Struthio camelus: one gene and its partners. The protein of the gene in region 2 purifies or fractionates together with the protein of the main gene of each other region. This does not show direct contact. Links are inferred from orthologs where the notes say so. Each region holds a gene or a part of one and is shown on either strand. Other genes may lie near its edges.

Region 1 (6,872 bases), on a different chromosome or scaffold from region 2:
GTATCTGGGGTCTCTCTTTCAAGTATTAGTTCAAAGTCACATATCTATAGTAATTTTTGCATAATAATGGTAATTATGCATCTAGCTAGTAATTACTCAGGACAGAACCACATATTCTGTCCTTATGATCATGCAAATACACTAGATATATATTTCAGAAAGCTAAATCCCTAAAGTTACATTAATGCTATCGATAGCTTGGGGTTACCTGACAGTCATTACTATATAACTTAATGAAAAGCAGCCCTGCCCCAAACTACAGCAACACTCTTCCTATATAAATTGCTAATGCATTTTCCCATCAAGCCATAATTAGTCACCATGAACGCTGAAATGAACTGGATAACATTCAACATAGGAGATTTTCTCACACTGGGGCAAAAAACCCTCCATTGGGCATGTTCTAGTATTAGGATGTTACTAACTTTTCTTTTTTAAAGTAGAAAGTACTCTAAGAACTTTGAACCAAAGATTTGCTTCAAGCCCAAAGGGTTTTTTTAGGATGGACATCACAGGGAAGCAATTTCTGGCACGGTTTTTAAGGAAAGACTGCTTACTTTGGTATATTACTTCACTGATATTACTTGGGAATGTCAGATAATAGAGAAATCAAGGAGGAGAGCTCCAAGGCTCAAGTCCAGTCCAAGTTTACTGCTTTTTATTACGATACATGATTTTTCAAATCTATCCTTAGTAGCTATGATACTTCAGGATAAGCATTATATATCCGTGATATTATATAATGAGTATACTGAGTGAACAGGAATTTTGAAGTTAGTTCAGCCTAACCTCACACAAGCTAAGCATACTTACAGCGTTTAGTTTGTGTTCTATAGGGTCCCCTTCATCTGTACACTTGGTTGATCACTAAGCAAATTATTTTTTAACACGATGTTCTGAACAGCTTTATTAAGTTGGTTTACTTTTAAGAAGTGTCAACATGTACTACAAAAATTTGGAATACTGGCTGCTAGAAGAGGGGAAGATTTGCCCAGTAATACGTTTGGGTGTTCTTTAGAGAAGGATAACAGTGTAACGTGGGTTTGTGGCTTTTCTTTTTAACATCATGGGTTATGTTCCCTCCACTGGCCCCCAAAGGGCCCAGAAACTCCCAAAATTGTGACCTGATCATTAGAGGTCATTTGGGTCTGATCGTCATTCAAAAGTAATTTGCTTCATTTTAACAAATTGTTACTGATCTGATACAGATCTCAGGTAGCCTGCACAATTAAGGGGGACTGCTAAGGGTATTAGCACAGTAATATGAAGAAAGATTATATAGTGATAATGGCTGCACTTGTGGTCTAGTTACACTAGTAATGCAAAGTTTCTTGAGAGTTAATACAGGATGTTCTAATACAAGATATTATCAGAAAAAGTGGACAAGTTTGCAGGCACCAAAACTCTTGGTCACTTCAAGGTATCAATTATGAAGAGAAGAGAATAACAAACAGGAAACAAAACCTGTAGCACTAACACGCGTAAAATGCTGCACACTTGGTGAAGACGTTTCAAAAGATGTCAGTGCATCACAGCTATATCACTGTAACCTTGATGACCCATTCAGTCTAAACCTTTCCCTTCTGCTAGGATTTTTTTTCCACTGCTGCACTTGTTGGCTCAGGGATGAACTTTTCTTTTGGAAACAGCAAAGAAAATATTTGTGTCATCTCAACAGCAAGCCACAGCTGGGATTCTACAGGAATACAAGGACGGACCAAGACAAGGGAGACAAAGATGCCAATTAAAAGGGGCTGAGATTCTTTGGTAGAACCAGAATACGGCAGAGGAAGGCAGAAAGAGGAAAGAACAAGGATTGTGCAGGGGTTTGCACCAGTCATATTTTGTAATAATTAGTTACAATTTAGGATAGAAGCGCTCATAAAAATGCATGTTCTTATATGCGAATTAGAGTAAGCCATTTCAGTAGAGTACCATCTTACACTGGTATGACCCTGTCAGAGGAAGGCACTAGCTGCTACCAAACAGCTTTCTACCAGAAACATGCTCTCAAACTAATTTCCCATCACCCAGATCCCATCACACTGATGCAGAGAAACACTTGAGCAAAATGCCACCTCTGGACCTTACTACCAGGGAGGCTCTGGTTTAACAAGTTATTTCCTAGTGTGAAAACACAGCTTTAGCAAATCCCTTCTTAGCTCAAAAAGCCTTAAAGAGCCTGTCCGGAACGAGGTGGCTATAGCCCAGCGCAGTTCAGGGAACCACCACGAACCAGGGCCCAGTCCCGCAAGGTGCCGAACGCCGCAGCACCAACAGTCAGGGGGAAACGATGCGCCCAGCCCCGAGGCCAGGCCTCTGCCTCAGACGCAGCTTCAGCCTAAGCGCCCCAAACCGCAGCCGAAGCGCACTGAAGCATAGAGCAAACGTCCTGCGAGGCGAGCACGAAATAAACGTGCGGCTTCAGCAGCAGATGCAATTCTGAGAAACCCTAACGGGAGCCTTCTCGAGCCTAGTTCCTTGTCGGCCAGCTTGACATCTCCTCCTCCTTCTCCTCCTCGCAGCTTCCTGTAAGGCGGCCGCGCTCAGGCCTCCCCGCCTCGCACGCACCGCTTCCCCGGGGCTTTCCCCGCCGCCCGCTTCCCCGGGCTCCGCTCTGCCCCGCGGGCCCCGACGGCGAAAACCCTCTGCTCGACGCGGCCGCCGCAGCGAGCGGGCGGGCGGCCGGGCGGGGGCCCCGCGGGGCCGCTCTCCCCACCGCGGGCAGCAGGTGGCCGCGGCCCGCGGCAGCAGCCCCCACTCCCTCCCCCGCCGCCGCCTCTGCAACTGGGAGCCCGCGCGGGACTTCCGGTTTCGGCGGCCGGTTCCCCCGGGCCGAGCCGGGCCGAGCCGGGCCGAGCCGGGCCGGCCGGGGCTCCCTCCCGCCCCGCGGGGCGGCCTTACCTCCCCGCGCCCTGCGCGGCCGCTCGCCGCGCCGCCGCCTTCCGCCAGCGGGCCGAGGGGCGCGGCGGCGGGCAGCGCCTGTGCGCGGCGGCGTGCGCGCCTTCCCGCCCCCTGCGGCCGGCCGGCCCCGCGCTGCCGCCGGCAGGAGGTTTGGGCCGCTTGGCCTGCCGCTGCCGCCGCCTCGGCGCTCGCCCAGCCCAGCCCGGCCGGGCTGCGCCTGCTCGGAAGCGGAGGGCGCGCCGCCCGCCGGGCCGCCGCCGCCGCCGCCCGCGAAGCCGCCGCGCGCCCGCTGGCCCGGGAGCGTGCGGAATGAGCCCGCCCGGGCTGGGAAAGCGCGTGTGCCACCCGCGCCCCGCTCCGCCCTCGCCGCGCAGCCGGCGCCCCGGGGAGAAGCACGGACCCGAAGTACTGTACTGCCCGCGTCTGGGCACACGGCTACCAGATAACCTGTCGGAGTTACCGCGGCTGACAGCCGTTGCGGGAGGGCCTGCAGTTGGTGCATGGCGGGACTGCAGCTCTTTGGTGTGGTTTTAGGGCCTACGAGGCAGTTTCTTGTTCAGGAAGATGGAGGCAGGAGCTTCTGCTCGCTAAGAGAGTACTCATAGTAGGTAACAGTCCTGCGGAAGCAGGTGGAGGAAAGGTGTAACCTAAAAGGACCTCTGTAAACCATCTAGTCCATCCTCTTGCTCTGCAGAGGTGTCTAGACCATCTTTGACAAATTTCATGTAGTTTGTCGTAATTCTACCGGTAAAAGAGATTCCATAACTTCCGACCTGTTCCATTACTTTCATTAGGAAAAGTGTTCTAATATAAAAACAATGGCTCGTTACAGCTTCTTTACATAAAAGTCATTCTTAACTGTTTCTCCAGTGAAACAATTGGAAATGATGAATGACTATCTGCTTTGTAATGACCTTTTCCATTCTGGGGAACTGCTATGCTCTTCACAAAGCCCTGTAGATGCTGTGGTGTTCACAGATCAGTGCCACCAGATACCACTGAAGCAGCAGCAGATTCATGTGGGCCGGCGAGAGCAGCCCACAATTTGCACATAAAGAAAGAAGCCTTTCTAAAGCTGAATGGCAAGCTTGCTCAGGCCCTTGACTTTCAAAGGAGAGTGATGAGAGAAGACAGTCTAGAAATCTGTTTCAGTTTCCTGATGGAAATTGAGGCCCTAGATTCTTGTAGATCTGGAAGAAGCGCAGTGGTGATGGAGAGTTTTAATTTCATGCGAGGCCCCACAGTGGATTTCATGGATAGGGTTCCTCAACCATGGAGGGCATTCAAGGCTGTTTGTACCACCACTTAAAGCCAACAAAACATTAACAAAAAAGAACCATACTCCATTTAGTACTTATGAAGCCTTTTAGGTTCGCAACGTGCACTGGTATGTAATGCTGGCATATTCTGGAGCTCTGGCCTTTTCCAAATGTAGAACTAGTCCTTTGTTTCCCCGTGTCAGTCATCAATGCATTACTGGAATTCCCAGACAACCCATTTATCCATATACTTGCCTTTTTTAAACGAAGGCATAGTCTGATTTATGCCTTCTGCTAGCCAGCACATTTATCTGGAAGGGGCAGGTGACATGTAACTTTCAATTTTCTGAAAGGCATCTCTTTTGAAAGATAAATGGGAAACACTTGGCACGGGCCGGGCGATACAGTTTTGGAGAGGCAGAACAGCCTTGGAGATAACATAAGCAGTTTCCTCCCTGAGTCTCAAGGCGGTTTTCTACACCTTGCAGTACAAACCAAACAAATGGCTTGTTTCCACTGCACATAATGCTGAGTGCAGTCATTTCCACTCTAAAAAAACCTACGGCAGTGGAATTGGCATGTGTCTAGGGCATGCCTTTGTTTTCAACGGATTCTGGATCAACCGGTGTAGAGTCAGACCAGCTGGCCAATGCTCTGATAGCATTCAAGGCAAGGCCTCATGAGGCTTACTGTAATTAAAAGGCTCAAGACAGCTATGCTGAACTGACAGACAAGGTAGTTTGAACACACATTTCATGGCCATCCATGCTGCAAGATATCTTAAGGAAAGTGTTACTAAGCCTATCGTCCATAGAAACTGGGACGTTCGTGAACTCTAATTGTCCCAAGGCAACTGAGGAAAGCAAATGTGGCATCTCTCATAACTATGGGTAGGTCGTGCAGTTTTTTTCTTCTGTTGCCATCCCGAACATTACAGAAACCTTTTAATGCTCTTTTGCTTCTCTTCTCTGGGCTTTGCATTAGGTATGTGGCTGAAGAGAGAAAGTAAGATGGCCACATTTACACAGAATTGTGTGGTTAAAAACATCTCAGTCATTCAGTGATTTACCAACAAGTACTAGGAAAAAAGACAAACATTTGTTTGTTCGTGGTCAGAGGTCAGTGTTGCCAGTTATGACATTCCTTCTTGAAATGAATAAGGAAAATAAATTGGTCCAAAAATGCAATCTGAAGTCACAGAGAAATCTCTTTAATTCTGATAAAGAAGAACGGAAGAATATCCTGAACTGGAGATAAGGTCATTCATTACAGTTCTAATGCTTTTCACAATAATGCATTTCTGTGAGCAGTTTTCAATTTTAGTATCAACTAAGATAAAATAACCCCATTACTTCTTTTTTTTCCCTTTAACTGATACTTTCACTAATTTTGACCAAACTCTCATTTACTTTGTACCAAAAGTCTCAACCATCTTATCAAAATAGAAAAAATATAAGCACGTAGAATTCCAATTGCACTTTGTTTGCATGTAGCTGTTTTTATTGTCAGTTGGATAAAAACTGCTGTTGCCAACTGCATTTGTGAAATTTTCAGATTCTGTTGCATCACCAGAAGGTGATGTAGGTGTTCCTAAATCAAACAGTATTGAAACTCCGCAGCACTAGACGAAGGCTACCTGGAAAACTTACCTGTTTTATTTATCGTAACCAATAAAATCACAAAAAGCTTATGCCCTAATGGGAAAGTGACTTAATACGGAGATATTTTCCTGGTGTTTGAAGACTGCATCACAGTTTTGCTACAGAGCTTTTAAGTTCTCCACTCCTTTCCTTCCACCCATAAAGTCCCACTCCAGTTAATTGCTAGATTTTTGTTCACATTTTTAAATGTTAAAAAGTCTGATTTTTGTTTATGTTTTGTTTACAGTTTTGCCACCTCCCTGTTTCCCATGAACTGCAAGCTCTGTGCGGACCTACACTGTGGTGGGAATGAGCGTGATGGCACTGTGTTTGTCCACAGCTAAAGACACAGCTGAGACCTCAAGAGATGAGTGTGTCCTCACACAGGAAGTTTCCAGTTCCAGAGATGAGTCAATGCTGAAACGTTAATTCTGGGCTCAGCATCCTACCCAGAGCACTGTAGAAGTAGAGGATCACTGGGAAAACCCTAAGCGGATATTTGTTCATAATCTTTCCGTAATCTATGTATTAACCTGAAGCTAAAGCACTAGCTGGTCTGCTTGATCCCACTACTGTCTGACAGCTGTACAGATGATTTTGCAAGGAGAAGCCATGGTTTTAGCTAGTTTTGCCCAACAGTACAACAGAACTTCTATTGCATTTCACTGAAACCACAGAGGGCTGAAGTGGAAGAAACTGCAGCAGTGTGCAACCAGCACTGCTGCACAGGAGCATGCGGAAAAGTGCCGAATCCTCTTGGGGAACCTGAGTGTGGGACAAGCTGCGCAAAGGGACTTGGGAACCACCCTTGTGATAGATGCAATTTTTCATTGTAGCTAAGTTCAGAAGATCTTCTGAAGTCTTGCCTTGACATTGGGGTGTGGCTGTCACAGTGGTGGTTACTTTATAGTTATTTTTTGGCTTTAAAATATCTATTAACATAATAGGATTTCTTTTTTGAAAAATAATATATGAATTATGGATGATATTTATCCCCTGGCTGTTCTTCTCTTCAGCATGACCTTTTGATAATTTGCGTGTTGCAAAGTATATTTGTCTGCAAGCAGGT
Region 2 (7,562 bases):
AAACTTGATGTCTGCTGTTTAAAGTTTCCCCTTGCTTTTAGTCAAGCCAGCCTCCTGGGTTCGCATTCATAAGGGGAAACGTTTAACCCTTTCACTTGCCCAGAGACGACAGAGGTGGGGAAGCTGCGTCGGGAAAGGTGAACGGAGAAAGGATGACAAAATTCCCCCACCTGCTCCATACATACCCATGAGCATCTCACAAACCACAAAGATAAAGCAGGCACAGGGAGCGAAAAGAGAAGCATTAACATCCCCCTGTTGCACAGGGGGGAACGGAGGCACAGAGAGACTCCGTGACTTGTCCGGAGTTACTCAGGAAAGAGACCGTGATGCAGTGGGGAATTAAGCTCCATTCTCATGAAGTCCACACAGTGGACTGTCTGCAAGAGCATCCTCCCTCTTTTAAAGAGGAACCTGGCATTTATGAGAAAAATCATTTGTTTATCCTGAGAGGGAAGGTCAACATTATCAGACAGCTTCAAATCCCTTTCAGGAAACAAAAAACAAACAAGAGGCAGCAAAAATCTGGAGGAAAAGCTTAATGCTGACATTCAAAAAGTAATGTATAGACACGTACCCCATCACCCCCACAGAGATGTGCCACAGATCCCAGTTAAAAGAAAGATGCTCTGGAAGGAGAGATTAGAGTCACCTTCACCTCCACACAGTCTCTTTTAAGGATGGACATAAACAAGAAGCCCATGAGCAAAGAGATGCATCATTAGGATGAAAATACGTGGAGGGTGTGAACCCTTGAGCACCACAGCGTTAGCTAGCTCGCGTGAGGTTAACCGCTAACTGTGGCAGATAGGAGTAGACTTCCCCTCAGGGCTGTTTATTGCATAATTGTCCAGCGTGGGCATTTCCCACTTTGGTGTCAAGTGTCCCTGCTCCTGGCCACGGGGCGGGGGGACAGGAGCCGGGAGGAGAGCCAAGGCTCTGCTCAAACTCTTGGACTCATTTTATGTTCCACTTGCAATAGAGCTGCGGAAGCAGGGCGAAACTCGGCATCACAAAACTGCGGTGGGTCCCCCCCGGCTTCTCCATGCACTTCGTTTACGCCCGCCGCTGCTCTTGTGGTGCAATCTCCCCGGCTTCTGAACGGTTCCTGCTTCAGACGGAGCTGCGGAGACGGGGAGGCCTGCGGCGATAAGGCCTGGGGGAGTGACAGGGGGCCTGTCTGTGAGTGATAAAAACACCCCTCTCCCGCCTGAGACCGGTGCCTCGTCTGCAAATGGGCCTTAAATGGAAATGCTCTGCGTGCCAGCTCTGTGCATGGCTGCAGCCAAGCAGTGGAAATTCTTGCTTGGCGGGTGAATGACGTTACCGGCCCTGGGAGTCCCACCCGGCGCTGCAGCATCTGGCTGGGATGGGGCTGGGGAGTGGGAGAAGGCTCACATCACTCAACTCGCTCATTAGCTTAAATACCCACGGCACAGCAGAAAGCCGTCTTTGCTCAGAGCTGTGGAAAAGCTGTGGTTTGTCAGCACAGATAACTCCATTAGTCCAATTGTATAAACAGAGAGAGTGAGACAGATGGACAAAGAACTGCAGCTTCGCAACAAGTGTTTGGCAGAACGGGATTAGGCCTTGGGGTCTCGGTGCTGAAGGTTGTTCTCACCCTGCTGAGGTGCACCTGAGGGCACAGTGTACATTATTGGGCAAACTGGGAAGCAGCAGTTCTAAAATATGTTCTCACTTCTGCATCCCCTTGCCCCATGTGCAGCCTCCTGCCCATATGGATTTATGCGATCCCATAAATGCCCCATAAATGGCAAGTCCCATAAATGGCGTCAGGTTGGTTTTTTTGGAGAGTAGACAGACAGGGTCCTTCACAGTCCCGCTGGATACAGCCAGGGTGCCGTATCGCACAAAGGCCAGGCATGGCCATCTGAAGTTGCAAATGCAGTAAGGCTGTTAAATAGCATTTATTCTGACCTAACTGAAAAATGAGTTGTTCTCTAAGGCCCTGAATCACTTGAGCTGAAGTCAGTGGTATCTAGAACACAGAACACATGGTTTTGGTTAAACAAAAGGCCCTGCATACTTTTGGGGCCTGTCATATAACTACCCACCCAGGAAACAACCAGGAATTCCTGATCTACTTTAAATCATACTTCAGCTTAATTATTTTCTGTGTAGACAGGCCCTAACTTCTGCAAGGAGAAAACTAGGTTTCCATGGCATGGCACAGCTGGTTGCAGAAACGCTCACTCTCTCAAGAGTTCAGTGCCCAAAGGGGAGATGCTTCCCAAATATCCGTGGCCCGAGCGTGGACACTGCTGGTCTGCTTGGATCCAAGGAGCCTTCCTTGCAGGCTGCCTCCCTGCAAAGCTCTGGAGATGCTGAAGATGCCACTGAACTGGTCAGCAGCCCTGTTTTCATCCAAATTTTCAGTGCACTGAGCCACTTCCATGAAGAGCAGCTTTTCCTGCGGAGCGGCCAACCTCCTCTGAGCCTTGTCACCCAGTTGCAGGCTCTCACCCACAGTTGCTCTTCCTGGGCCTGGACTTGAAAAAGGATCAGTCACTCAAGAGTTACTGCTGGGGCAACTACATGCCCAGCCTCCGGTGAGTCACATCCCCACATGCATCCCGGCTAGGGCTGTAACAGCATTTCTCAGGGAGGGAGCATTTTCCAAAGCCCTGGGCTATTGAATGCAGCTAACACAAACCGAGCCCTAAGTTCAAGTCTGGTACGGAGTCTAGGAAAAGATTAACAGGTCACAGCTCCTCCATCTCTCCATCTCGGCTTTGTTTCGGTGGAGTAGTTTGTCCCACTCGCTATCCAAATGAGCTCACTGCAGAAGGGCTAGCGGTGTAATGGCACAAAGTCCAAAGGTTTTCCTTTCTTATTTTTTTTTTCTTTGGGCTCAAGCCTGCAGAAAACCGCGTGGAATTTCCCCACTTTCCAGCTCAGAGGCAAAAGTTAGGGAGGAGGGGTTTTGAAGGAGGGGTGAGGGTTTTTGCTGAGCCGCACCACAGCCCACAGGGCGGCTTTGCACCTCGTGCCCGGCCACCGGCCCCTCCAGGAGCCTTTTGCGTCTTCCTGTAAACTCCGTGCTCCTCGCTGGGATTTCTTGGAAGCAGGAGGGGATATTTATGTAACTCCATTTTCCCCGTAAAACATATATTCTTGCTCACTTGAGGTTTAGACGCTGCTATGATGGGGGGGGGGAACAAGCTGAGAAAGCAAAAGGTGTCAATGAAAAGCCCCTCGCAGAAGCATTCGTGAGGGCGCTTGTCTGATCTGGAGGCTTGAAAACCAGCCGTAACTATTTTCCCCGACACACCCCCCCCCCCCACCCATCCACCCACCAACACGAAAGCGCTAAAAAATGAAAGTTCCGCGGCAAGCCGGGCGGGTTCAGTTTTCGGCCCGGCCAGTGAAGCTGTTAACAAAAGCCGTGCTGAAACCTCCGTGCGGCTTCCGAGCGGCGGCGGCGGCGGCGGCGGGGCCAAGCGTGCGCGGGATGGAGGGGGGGGCAGCACGGGCCAGCCAGCCGGCCGGCCCCCTTCCTCCTCCTCCTCCTCCTCCCGGCCCGGCCCACATCGCGTATTTAAGCCGGCCGCCGGCCGCGTTGCGGGAGAGTGAGCGCACCGGGGGCGACCCGGAGCCGACCCGGAGCTCAGCCGAGCCGCCCCGACCCGGAGCCGGCCCCGCTCCCGCGCACGATGCGCGGCGCGCCCCGACGGCGCTGCCGCCTCCTCCGCCTCCTCCTCTTCCTCCTCCTGCTGCTGCCGCCGCCGGTGTGTGGGGTCCGGGGGGGGGGGGGGGCGCCGGGCGCCGCCGCGGCATGTCCGGGCTTGCTGCGCCGTCGGGGCCCGGCAAGGGGTTGGCGGCTCCCCCTTCACGGGAGTTACTGGGGGGGGGCGCAGAGGGTGGCTGGGGGGGGGCAGCGGGCGGAGGGGGGTCGTAGGGGCTGGAGGGGGAGCAGTGGGCGGAGGGGGGGTCGTAGGGGCTAAGGGAGGGGGCTCCCGGGGGCAGCGGGGGGGGCTCACCTGTACGGGGGGGCAGGGGCTGGGGGGGGCTCACCTGTATGGGGGGGGCTCCCAGGGGCCGTGTGGGGGACTCTTGGGGGGTTATGGGGGGGCTCACCTGTACGGGGGGAGGCTCCCGGGGGGTTATGGGGGGGCTCACCTGTACGGGGGGAGGCTCCCGGGGGGTTATGGGGGGGCTCACCTGTACGGGGGGAGGCTCCCAGGGGCTGTGGGGGGGGCTCACCTGTTTGAGGGGGAGGCTCCTAGGGGGTTATGGGGGGCTCACCTGTATGGGGGGAGGAGGCTCCTAGGGGGTTATGGGGGGCTCCTAGGGGCTGTGGGGGGGGCTCACCTGTATGGGGGGGAGGCTCCAAGAGGCTATGGGGAGGCTCCTGGGGGTTATGGGGAGCAGGGGCCATGGGGGGCTCACCTCTATGAGGAGGGGGCTCCCCTGGTGTGTGGGCTATGGGAAAGGCATGGGGGTTTCCCTGGCCCAGGGGCTATGGGGGCTCCCCTGGAGAGCTTGGGGGGGGGCTGCAGGGGGCTCCGCAGGAGGCTCGTAGGGGAGCAGGGACACGTGGGGCAGGGCGGAGGCGGGAGCGCGTTCCCAGCCCGCCGGGGCGCGGGGAATGGGCACGTGCGCCCGCGCGTGGGGCGGCCGGAGGACTGGAGGGGATTTCCACTTCCTCGCTTCCAACGGCATTGTTTGCCGTTCCGGGTCGGGATCTTGCGGCGACACCGAGTCCGTGCGGACGTTCGCGCCACGTGAACGCAGCGGGACGTTCGGAAGTGTCCGGGCTCTGCTGCGGGCCCTTCTGTGCCGTCTCGTGTGGGGATATGTGATTTTAGACTTCCCCAACGGCAGTCTGACTCCTTAGCGTTGGTGACTTTTAGGATAGAAACTCCCACCCGCCCATACTGTATTTCTTGGGTTGGAGGTGGCTATAGCTCGGAGAGGTGCCCAAAGTCTCGTGTCGCCTGCAGTCAGTGGGAACCCTGTCCCGAGGATCCCGGGACTGGCCCCGATTCCTGCCGTGGCGCAGGAGCGGCTCTGGGACGCGTGGTTGCTGTTTGCCTGCTGGAATTGCTGCCGCTGAAATCGGCGCTGCCTGTAACAGGTTTTTAAGTGCCTCATCTTCTCCGGTCCCTTCCCGTGCTGTTTCTGTGAGTTGCACAGGTTAGGTGATCCCTTCTTGAGTCTCCCTGCTCTTTGCTTAGACTTGCCTGTATAGGCAATAGCCTTACCGACCCCATCACCTACAGGCCTGCTCTTACTGGACTTGTTTTCTTTTATAAAAAATAAAAATAAAAAGGGAGGGAGAACTGATCAGGACTGATGTTGGCCCACGTGATAATCATACGATATTATGGCTGCAAGTTGCTTCCTCTGCACACCATGGCTTGTTGCATCATGCCTGGACACGGGCCACAGGCTCGTGAAGAAGAAATCCTCCGAATTTCTGTATTTGCGGGAGCTCGAATTCCATCCACATAAGGTCTGCAGGGAAACCCCAAGTTCAGCAAACTTATTCCCTTGGAGCAGAGGCGTGTCAGTTGTCTGTGAAGTCTCTCTCTCACTCCTTGTTCCTTAACACTGTTGGTGCTCTGGGATTAAGAGCCTCACTCCCTACATCAAGGGTTGACATGGTTATTAATACTGTCTAGATGCTTTGTGGTGGTCAGGAGTTCAGTTTGTGGGCTATCTGCTGCCATAATGGTTTGATTCCTTCCTTGGGATCACTTCAGGAGGAAACCAGAAATCGGTGGTAGAGGAGAGAAGGTTCAAAGATCGGCACTTCCCAAAAAGTCTTCTCCAGGTCTGATCATCCAGACCGAATAGAAAGAGGGGTTTAAATTCATGGTCGATGAGGATATTGGAAATTACTATGACTGATCATTCTTCAGCTTTGGGGCAGCATTACTTTCTTTGGATGTTTGCTACGGGTGAAAAGTACTCTTGAATACCATTGCTTGCGTTGAACTTGACCTCCCTATGCAACTTGCTTTAAAACTGGCTTTTGCAGTGATAAAATAGCTGCCTGTGCTGGAATTGATCAGGCAAGTCTTCTGATGCTGGGACAAGCTGAAGTGTGGCTGTATTTCTTTCTCCCTAGGCTTTTTTTTAAAACCTCTTCTGTGATCTAGGCAGGGTCCTTCCCTCTGTTTTTAAGTTAAAGATTTTTTTGGATTGTTTTGCTGTTTTTTGGTGAGTTCCTCCGTCTCCTGGCAAGTTAGCTGTGCAATTAAAGGCTGAAGGTGAGGCCACCCGGCCCAAGGAAGATGGAGGTTTGCCCCTGGATTGCCACAGTGACTTGCCAGCAGGGAGGGCCAGGTCTAGAGGTTATCATAATCCTAGGGTGAAGTTAGTGCTGGTTGCAAGTGTCCTGTTAGCACCTTGCAGTGGGTGTTGGACTGGGTTTCTCCAGGGCCAAGGTATGTTGTGGTGGTGTCTGGCCTCTGGTTATCAGTATTTTGGAGCAGGCAAGGGTAAGAGCTGGCGGAAAGCATCATAGGACACACGCTTGGAGCAGAAGGGTCCAGGCTCTGCTATGGGCATGCAGCGACTCTCTGAACCCCTTTTTGCCCGTTTCCTGGACTGTAAAACTGAGGCCACCTTTTGCCTGTGGCTCCTAGGCTGGCTTATCTCAGTGCTTTGCAAAACTGATAGGTTAGATTCCTACCTGCAAAGGGCTCTGTCAGGACGATGTACTTGAACTGCATTTGCTCTTGAAGGTGGTGTGGGCTGATAACCTTATCATGCACTTGTGCAAGCTCAGGGAGAGCACTGAAATCCTGTGCCTGAGGGGCCCTCTGAAACAACAGATGTTGTTGCTGTGGTTGCCTTCACGGCTTGGCAGGAAAACTTTCTTGCCCATGAGGGCAGTCAGGCAGTGGGACAGGTTGCCCAGGGAGGTTGTGCAGTCTCTGTTCTCGGGGGCTTTCAAGGCCAGAATGGGTAAAGCCCTGAGAACTGCAGAGGGTAAAACAACTTGTGACTGGAAGGTAAAAGCTGAGTTGTCTCCTAAGTTGGATGCAAAAGGAGTTTATAATAACTTTATAATAAACTCTGGGAGGCAGCCAGCAGGAGATCTGCACCTGTACTTTGCAAAACCCCAAATGCTATAGAGCTGGTAGTTGTGTTCGTGCTCTTTCTTACGGTTGGGATATTTGTCTGCATGAGGCCTGAGTTTCTTTGCTTTTTTTCTGCGCTGTCTGGATTAGCAGCGTGCCAGCTCTAGGATCCCAGTCCTGCGCTGAGGTCCAGCTTCCTCTTCTTGCTTCCTGCCTTTAACCGTGTAGCTACCCAGAGCTCTTTAAGCAGCTGTGACACCCCAGGGGAGGTGGGAAGTTCAAGTTCCCGATGAACTGTGTTATCTAAAGCTCGGGTAACACTAATGCAGTCTGAAGGAGGTGGAGGAACCGTTGCAGGGCTCTGAGTTGGATTACTCCAAGCCAGGGTCTGGAGATGGCCATATGCCCAGGCTGGCCATGGCTGGGGGGTTTGTGCCTCTCTGGCTCCCCATGTTGCGGCATGCGGGGCGAGAGGGACCATCTCTGGCCAGTGCTCCTGGAGGTAATGGA
Region 3 (7,405 bases), on a different chromosome or scaffold from region 2:
ACATCACTTGGGCAAACCTGATGCATTCCATCTGCACGCGTTTTAGCCAGACCCACTTCTCCATGAGAGGTGAAGGGCATCTTGTTTCACCCTTCCATCTGATAACGATAGCTTTTGCAAACATCATTGGTGCAGTTATAGCTGAAACATGGACAACTAAAGAAAAAGAGAAAAGCAATGACAGAATGCATAACCCAGCAGTCTAGCCCTCAATTTTTAGATTACCTGGGCTCTGCAGCAAGAAGAGCTTCTGAACGTAAATTCTTTACAAAATGGAGGGAGAGGAAAACAGCACACCTTTTGAGGAGAAAAGAAACAAGTTCACAGTCAGCAGAGAAAGCTGTTCCTGTAGTTTATGTGTTCATGTGTGCATGTAATTTGCCAATATTGCTGCAAGAAAATACTTAAAGACTTTCCTCTTCTGTTCCGTTCAGTGTTGCTTCCACTGCATAAAGATTTCGGCACAGAAGTTACAGAGCAGGAAGATATTTAAAAGAGACGGTGCTCCGTACCTTAAAAAAATCAGCTGTGCCTGAAGCACTACACTTATTTCCATTTAAATAAAATCTAAAATCATTGCAAATAGCACAACTGTAACACAACAACCTACACCGCTGTTATCTGAGGATATTGCAAGGCTGCCTCAGTAATATCAGGGGCAGAGTGAGTGAAGGGGCCAAGCCTACACATGGAACAAAGAACTACTTTTTTGTTCCTGTAATCAAAGAACCAGGAAAGCCCCAGGCACCTCGAGGGAGAAGGACAGGGGAGGAGGCAGTTTTCTGTAAGTCTAGCTATTTCAGTTCACAATCACACCAAATTTTCACAGGGCAAGCGCTCTTGTGGAAAATAGTCATAAGGTCTTTGAAAAAATGACTGATTCTAGAGTGACTCATCAGTCACCTTGTCACCCCAAAAGAGGATTGAGAGAAAACATGTCTCAAGAGGATTACTACAAAAGCACACTCAAATACGAGTTACTGCTTTTAACTTTCCTTAAGGAAGTGGAAGATTTTAAGTCTGAATGGACATTCCTTAATGAATTTCTCACCTACTGCAATGGGAAACCATCCTTGTCGAGGGCATGCTTATCTAAGTCTGCACTGACTTTTGACCCTGGATATTACACTGTAAGTAAGGATTTATTAAGATAAAATACCTGAGAAAATTAGCAAGTATATTTCTCAGACCACAATAGTCATTTCCCTTCCACGCTAGGCAAAGAGCTAAGAAAATATCAGTATGTTAATTGGCTTCTATGAGAGTAATAAAATGAATTATACTCCTATTTTCTGAACTTTCTCACTGCCCAGAATCCAGGCAGAATACATCCAAAATCAAGGACCAGGATTCTTTTTTTTTTTTTTTTTTGTTAAGGTGCGGGAAATAACAATATCCTAGAACTTCACAAAGACTTGTAAGGCTCTGTTAACTCCCCCCGTGTATGTACAAGGCTCAAGCAATTTTACTTTTTGCAAAACAAATGCTGCACAACATACTAACATCAGTTCAATTAGCAAGGCAAAAAAGTGTCCTGTACTAATTATGACAAAGTCATCTATCAGGCCTCAAATTAAGAAGCAGAAGTCTTTCAAGAGAAGCAGGGAAACCTTTCACACTTTAAAAGTCATCTCCAATTACAGTCTGTCAGTTGAGACAGCATTTGTTTCTTGAACGTTTCACAACTGTAGTAAACATCTCTACAGCAGCAAAAACGGGATATATCATCAGTAAGTGTAGTTCTTGTTTGGAAAGCCCTCTTTGTTTCACAGGACGAGCCCAAGTAGGAGCCCCTACGCCAGGCAAAGAGAGCGGGTTACCTTGCTACAAGGAGGTACTACCTGTATGTTGTGGCCCCTCCCCCTGCTTTAAGATGCAGAGGTGGTCAGCGCTCATTTTGAGCATGTATCATCTGACGTCTTTCAAACTGTTGCATATGTCAGGGCGTGTTATACAAGTTTCAAATACCCCTGTAAAGAAAGAGGATCTGCTACGAGGCATTCAGGGAAAGCCCACGGTAACTTCCACGTTCCTCATCATTGTATGAGGCCTAATGATTTGCTCTGGTGTAAACCAGTAGTGACTACACTCATTTCCATTTAAAGGTGAGCTAGTTTAACACTCCGGTCCTGATCAAAAATTGAAATAAACTGGCTTTACCCTAGGGAGTTTATACAGCTTTCCGCCCAATTTTAACTACGTCACTTTAACTCACACTTGAAAAATGAAGCGAAAGGAAACTCCGCGCTGCAGGTCGAAAAGGTTTCACCCGAAGGGCAGCGCCGGGTTTCGTTTCTCCTCACGAGCAAGGACGGGCTCAGGCCCCGCTGGCGCGGAGCGCCCCGGCTCGCCGCACCCGCCCAGGCCCGGCCCGGCCCGCCCTCCGCCGGAGCGGGCCGCAGCGGGAGGAGGGCCCGATCCCGCAGCAGGGCGCGTTGGGGGCGCCTGTCCTGAGGGCGCGGGGGGGGGTGACTGCCTGGGGGAAGGAGGAGGGGACGCATAACGCACCCGGGAGGTCTCGTCTACAGCGGCGGGGCCAGGTCCGGAGCAGGAAGCGGTGCCGCAGGGAGAAGGAGAGGGCGGTACCGGCCTCGCAACGGGCTCCCCCGCACCAGGCGTGGTTTCGAGCACGGGCGGGGGGAGGCACAAGACCCTGGGCGCTCAGCATGGCCCCTTTTTCTCTTTCTAATGCGAGTTTCAGGATGAGACATCCGGAGCGTTTTCTGCTCCTCTTAACGCTGCTGCGACCAAAGCCGCCCCCACGCATAGACAGTCCCTGCCCCAGGCAGAGAGCTCCGCTCGCCGAGGGAAGAGGGGACTGAATATTGCCACCTTCCCCTCACTGCACAGCTGCGGAGCCACACTCGCCAGCCCTCGCCAGCCCTTACGACTTTATCGCGACTCCAGCCATTAGGTACCCGGGGTCGAGGGAATGGTTATCAGCCGCCTACTTTTCGGTCGCGCAGCCAGCAGCTGCTCTTTAACCCGCCTCAGGAGAGGAACCGCCCAGCTCCGCTCCCACTGTGCGGACCAACCCCCACAAAATGGCGGCCGGGGCGGCGGCGGGAGCGAGGCGTCCACCCGCGCGCGATCCACAGCGCCACCTGAGGGGGCCGTTTGCGCACAAAATGGCGGCGCGCCCGCCTCAGGGCTGTGCGGAGCGGGGCCCTGGGGGGGAGAAAGGGCGGGAAAAGGGGGCCGAGAGGGCAGCGTGGGGCCGCTGGGCCCTTCTGAGAGGGCAGAGAAGGAGGGGGTGAGGACGGTGCTGTCCTATCAGTGAGATGGGCGCGTTTTTGTGTGTCTTGGGGGCTTCAGCTTGGAGGCCCAGAAAGGGAAGGCTGGGAATCGCATTGATAGGTAGCAGTACACACAGACATGCGTACATAATCTACGTGCATGTAGGCTGCAGGCTTCCTAAGCCGGTTTTCAGACGACGAAGGCCCACCTCAGGAGCCGCTGAGTGGCAGATCCAGCAGTTGTGCAGTGCAGCAGGCTCTTCCGTTGAGCGAATGCAGACTGGTGAGCGCAGGGCACGTATGGCGGGGCGTTTTGGTGGGGGGTTACGCAGCAACAAATCTTTCCTGCGTTCCTCTCTTGTTGTACCCCTCTGAACTCATTCACGGCGAGGATAATGATTGTACAGGCACGTGAGAGTGTTGAGCTTCCGTTTGTTGTGTAATCTTCAATACTTCTGCCCTGTGCTGCTGTTCCCATGGTATACCTGGCAAGTCCCATCAAGTGACTTAGTGTGAGGCATTAGTGTCACAGCTGGAGCTGCTCTCTCTAAATCTAAAATTCTGGCCTGTTTTTGTCAACTGAACTAGACAGAAGCCTCATCCACCATGTATGGTGAATTTGGATGCAATAGATAGAAAATCTTCAAGAAAAAAGGACTTTGAAGTATTTACAACCCAGCAAACCGTTGTATGTGCTGCTAAAATGGAGCAGTTGAAGCATGGTTTTCTCTGGAATAATGCTCAGTTGTTTAAAAAAAAAAAAATAACGTACTCCTTGGAACAGCAGAGGAAAAACTCAGGGAGGCAGAAAGTAATTTTGCCTGAACTAGAATTTGGTCAGATTCCAATTGACTGTTTTGTGCTCTGAAAAAGTACCTCGATTCTTACTGACCTGGTATGGTTAGGCTCTTGCCTCAGTATCTGTCATTACAGGGTAGTAAGGGTATTGCAGTGTCCCTGCTGCCAAGCCTGTAGCCATAGCTGATTGAGAATGAAAAGGGCTGCCCACTGAATCTCTTCTCACAATCTCTCCTTGGACCTATTCCGTACAAATGCATAAGGCTAACAGAAGAGGTTATATATATATAATGAGATAGTATGGCTGCAGCCTTATGAAAGAAAAGAAGAACCTGCTTTTTGCAAAAATGACCATACAAATAGTCACATTCACCTACATTCACATTCATAATTAACATTCACCACATCCATTGCCAAAGAGATTGACTTACTATTTTGTTTACTTTTTCCACTTTTTCCTTCACTTTCTTAATTCTTATATGCTTATGAAGCTGCTTTTGCATATTTATAGGCAATATTTATGAGCTGTGTACAAGTTTTTTGAAGGGGGGGTGTCCAAGTTTCTAAGTTGAAATACTACATTGTCTTCTCCGATTGGTTCTCATGTCCTAGAACTGCAAATCAGTATGAGTGCAGAGCAGAGAGCGTTCTAGTAAGATTAGATAGGATTGAGAAGAGATGGTCCTATTTTGCTGTGATTTAGAGAGCTTTGGATTTATATCTCTGCCTCGAATTGGATTTCTCTCCATCTACTTTCATAACAGGTTGGGGCTATTTTGTAGATTGTCCTAGTTAAGTAAAACAAAAAAAAAATTCCATGTATCTAAAAGTCAGATTTTGTATGATCAAGGTGAGTGCGTTACATCTGTTTATATAAGTGGTGTTGCTAATATCATTCATTACATGTCATAGTTCCTTATTTTAAAAAAAGGAGCTAATTCAGTAGGAGAAGTGTTGTTTGGTTTTTTTGTTGGCCTACAACTGAGGACAGAAAAGGTATAGGAAACAAACATAGAAGACTAGTCTGGAGGATGATACAAATTTAGAATTTTATACTGAATGATGTAAAATTTTACAGTTGCTGTCAGCAAAAATAATAAATCACGAATATCTCTTGAGATGATGCAGATAGCTTTGTGAAGCACAGGTGAAAATCCTATGACCATCATCAGTGTTTTTCAAAACTTACTTACAGAATGAGCTTCCTGATTGTGCCATTACCATCATATGTTCTTCACCTGGAGGTGGCCACTGCTGTTTGTGACCCTGTTCTTTGCTCTGTAAAATAATCTTATGTGTGCTGGTAGGAAGCCTGCTTTAATTTTAGGACATTCATTGCTATGGTTACAGTGAAGACAGGTTTGGTACTTATTATCCTATTACATAGGAAATACTCCATTACCAGGAAGGATTAGTATTATTTTAGTAAATGTGAAATAAAAATCTTTTATATAAGAGTATTGTGTGTATAAGGAGTATTACATGCTACATCTGTTTTAGGGAATGAATGAAGACACGTTTTGATATTCCCTAATACTGCCAAGGCAAGTTCACCATAAATTTAGGCAGCCATTGATGGCAGTGGCTGAAATACTTTCTGGTAATTAAATCACTGAATGACACCTTCTTAATCTATAAATTAATGAGTTTCACCTAAACCAGTCCAGTTTTAACTAACAGCGAATATGCCCAATATACTACTACGGTGTGGAATGTTCATAAGGCTGATTCCTATGATCTTCCCTATACACAGCAGCATTTAAACATGAATATATGGAAGAACTGTATAAAATTGAGGTGACTTGCTTGTGTGCAAATTTTCTGGAAACTCTGGCTGAAATGAGTGAAGATGTGTAAGATTTCAACAGACTGATTCTTAACTTTCTTCATGTACTGTAATTGCCAACAAACCAGAATCTGGATAAACAAAGCTAACTGTTTTTTAAAAAATTGAGGAATGCATTAGGTTATATATCAATCAAGCTACGTTTCTGTATGCATATCTTACATCTTTTGGTCCAAGCAAAGTGAATAACATACCAATATTATGTATGCTGAAAATAGGAGTACAGTAAGTTTTTCTCATATGTGTTTTTCTGCTAAGTTTGAAAAGAATGTGTGAATCTCTCTTCAGGTAGCGTAAATGACAAAATTCTGTTTAAAAAAAATAGAACTATATTTAGTCATACCAATGAAGCTGCAGGCTTGTATCATTTTAAAAGACTAATTCTATAGGAGTCTGTGGCAACTTTACTGCAGACTCTGAAGCATTTTAAAAAAAAACAAAATAAAACAGCATGCATATAGAAGAACATGAAAACAAGGTTTCCAACTGGAAACTAAATGAAACAGCAACTATTGATCAAGGTTATGTTAAGGTTTATGCTTCTGGAAAAGTTGCAATAGGGTTGGGGGGCAGGTAACCAGTCAAATCAGCGTGCACACATACACAAGTCAGGGACACCATATTATAACTATAAAGGGCAGAAGTGAGCAGCACATACCTGAAGTGCAAGTTTCATCGATACCACTTGTAATGCCAGCTCTGCTAATCATGTGCTTCTGAACCACCACCGAAAGTTGAGCTTTCTTAATCCTTTTAATCTTAGACCTGGTTAGAACAAGCAGTGAATACTAGCCTTTGCAAATGCATATTCAGGGCAGGACTGCCTAAGGGATAATGTAGAAATGTTTTGTTGCAACAAACCTTACACAGTATGTTCGTGATTTGTTTTTCATGGAATGATGCAATAGCATAGGGATACTTGAGAAAGAATTAAGCAAGAAAACCAATTTAGTAAAACAGCTGTTTGTCCAATGAACAATGCCTTAGGCAACGTCATGCAGAGATGTAGAATTCTGTAGGAGTGCAGCTGTACTGTTCAGTAGTTTTATTGCCTCCAAAAATAAAACTCTGCTATAGCCTCACTGAAAGACTGTGCACTCTCTCTCTCTATATATAGAGAGAGAGGGAGGCATTTTACCCTCCTTTTTTTTTTTTATTTTTATTTTTTAAGAGCTGCAGTTGTTCTTGTAAAGCTGCAATTACAACTTCAAGGTACTCTACAGTTCTTCTACACTGGAAGTATACAACGTAATTGTCTAGTGGTATTTGAAGTTTACTTTTCTCTTGTCTGATTTTTGCTCTTCAGTTCACACAGATATGCTATGTCTGGATTGAAAACTGAGATATGGTAGCCTCCTTAGCTTATGTAACTAATGGCATAAAGATTTACAATATGATGTTTGGCTAGTTCTACTTTATAGCTCTGGAGAGCATGTATGCTGCCAACAGGCCCCCTTTTACTACTTTTTTCACTGTTGGCATTCTTAAGGCACTCTAGAAGCAGGTAATTTGAGGAAATATGTAA

What was found.
Region 1: the proteins of tumor necrosis factor receptor superfamily member 10A-like (region 2) and RIPK1 purify together in Homo sapiens (affinity purification with western blotting, with the first as the bait; 3 studies listed by BioGRID). This does not show direct contact. The link is inferred for Struthio camelus from reciprocal best matches to the Homo sapiens genes TNFRSF10B and RIPK1.
Region 3: the proteins of tumor necrosis factor receptor superfamily member 10A-like (region 2) and CFLAR purify together in Homo sapiens (affinity purification with western blotting, with the first as the bait; 5 studies listed by BioGRID). This does not show direct contact. The link is inferred for Struthio camelus from reciprocal best matches to the Homo sapiens genes TNFRSF10B and CFLAR.

The regions. Positions count from the first base shown.
Region 1 is NC_090943.1:104,667,364-104,674,235, forward strand, and holds the start of RIPK1 (receptor-interacting serine/threonine-protein kinase 1), read right to left. Parts: upstream 3,016-6,872; 5' UTR 2,905-3,015; intron 799-2,904; exon of another isoform or gene 1-798. UniProt on the Homo sapiens protein: Serine-threonine kinase which is a key regulator of TNF-mediated apoptosis, necroptosis and inflammatory pathways.
Region 2 is NC_090968.1:5,189,677-5,197,238, forward strand, and holds the start of tumor necrosis factor receptor superfamily member 10A-like, read left to right. Parts: upstream 1-4,549; 5' UTR 4,550-7,562. UniProt on the Homo sapiens protein: Receptor for the cytotoxic ligand TNFSF10/TRAIL. The adapter molecule FADD recruits caspase-8 to the activated receptor.
Region 3 is NC_090947.1:10,403,034-10,410,438, forward strand, and holds the start of CFLAR (CASP8 and FADD-like apoptosis regulator), read right to left. Parts: upstream 3,016-7,405; 5' UTR 2,509-3,015; intron 2,345-2,508; exon of another isoform or gene 2,216-2,344; intron 988-2,215; exon of another isoform or gene 513-987; intron 298-512; 5' UTR 226-297; intron 205-225; exon of another isoform or gene 18-204; intron 1-17. UniProt on the Homo sapiens protein: Apoptosis regulator protein which may function as a crucial link between cell survival and cell death pathways in mammalian cells. Acts as an inhibitor of TNFRSF6 mediated apoptosis.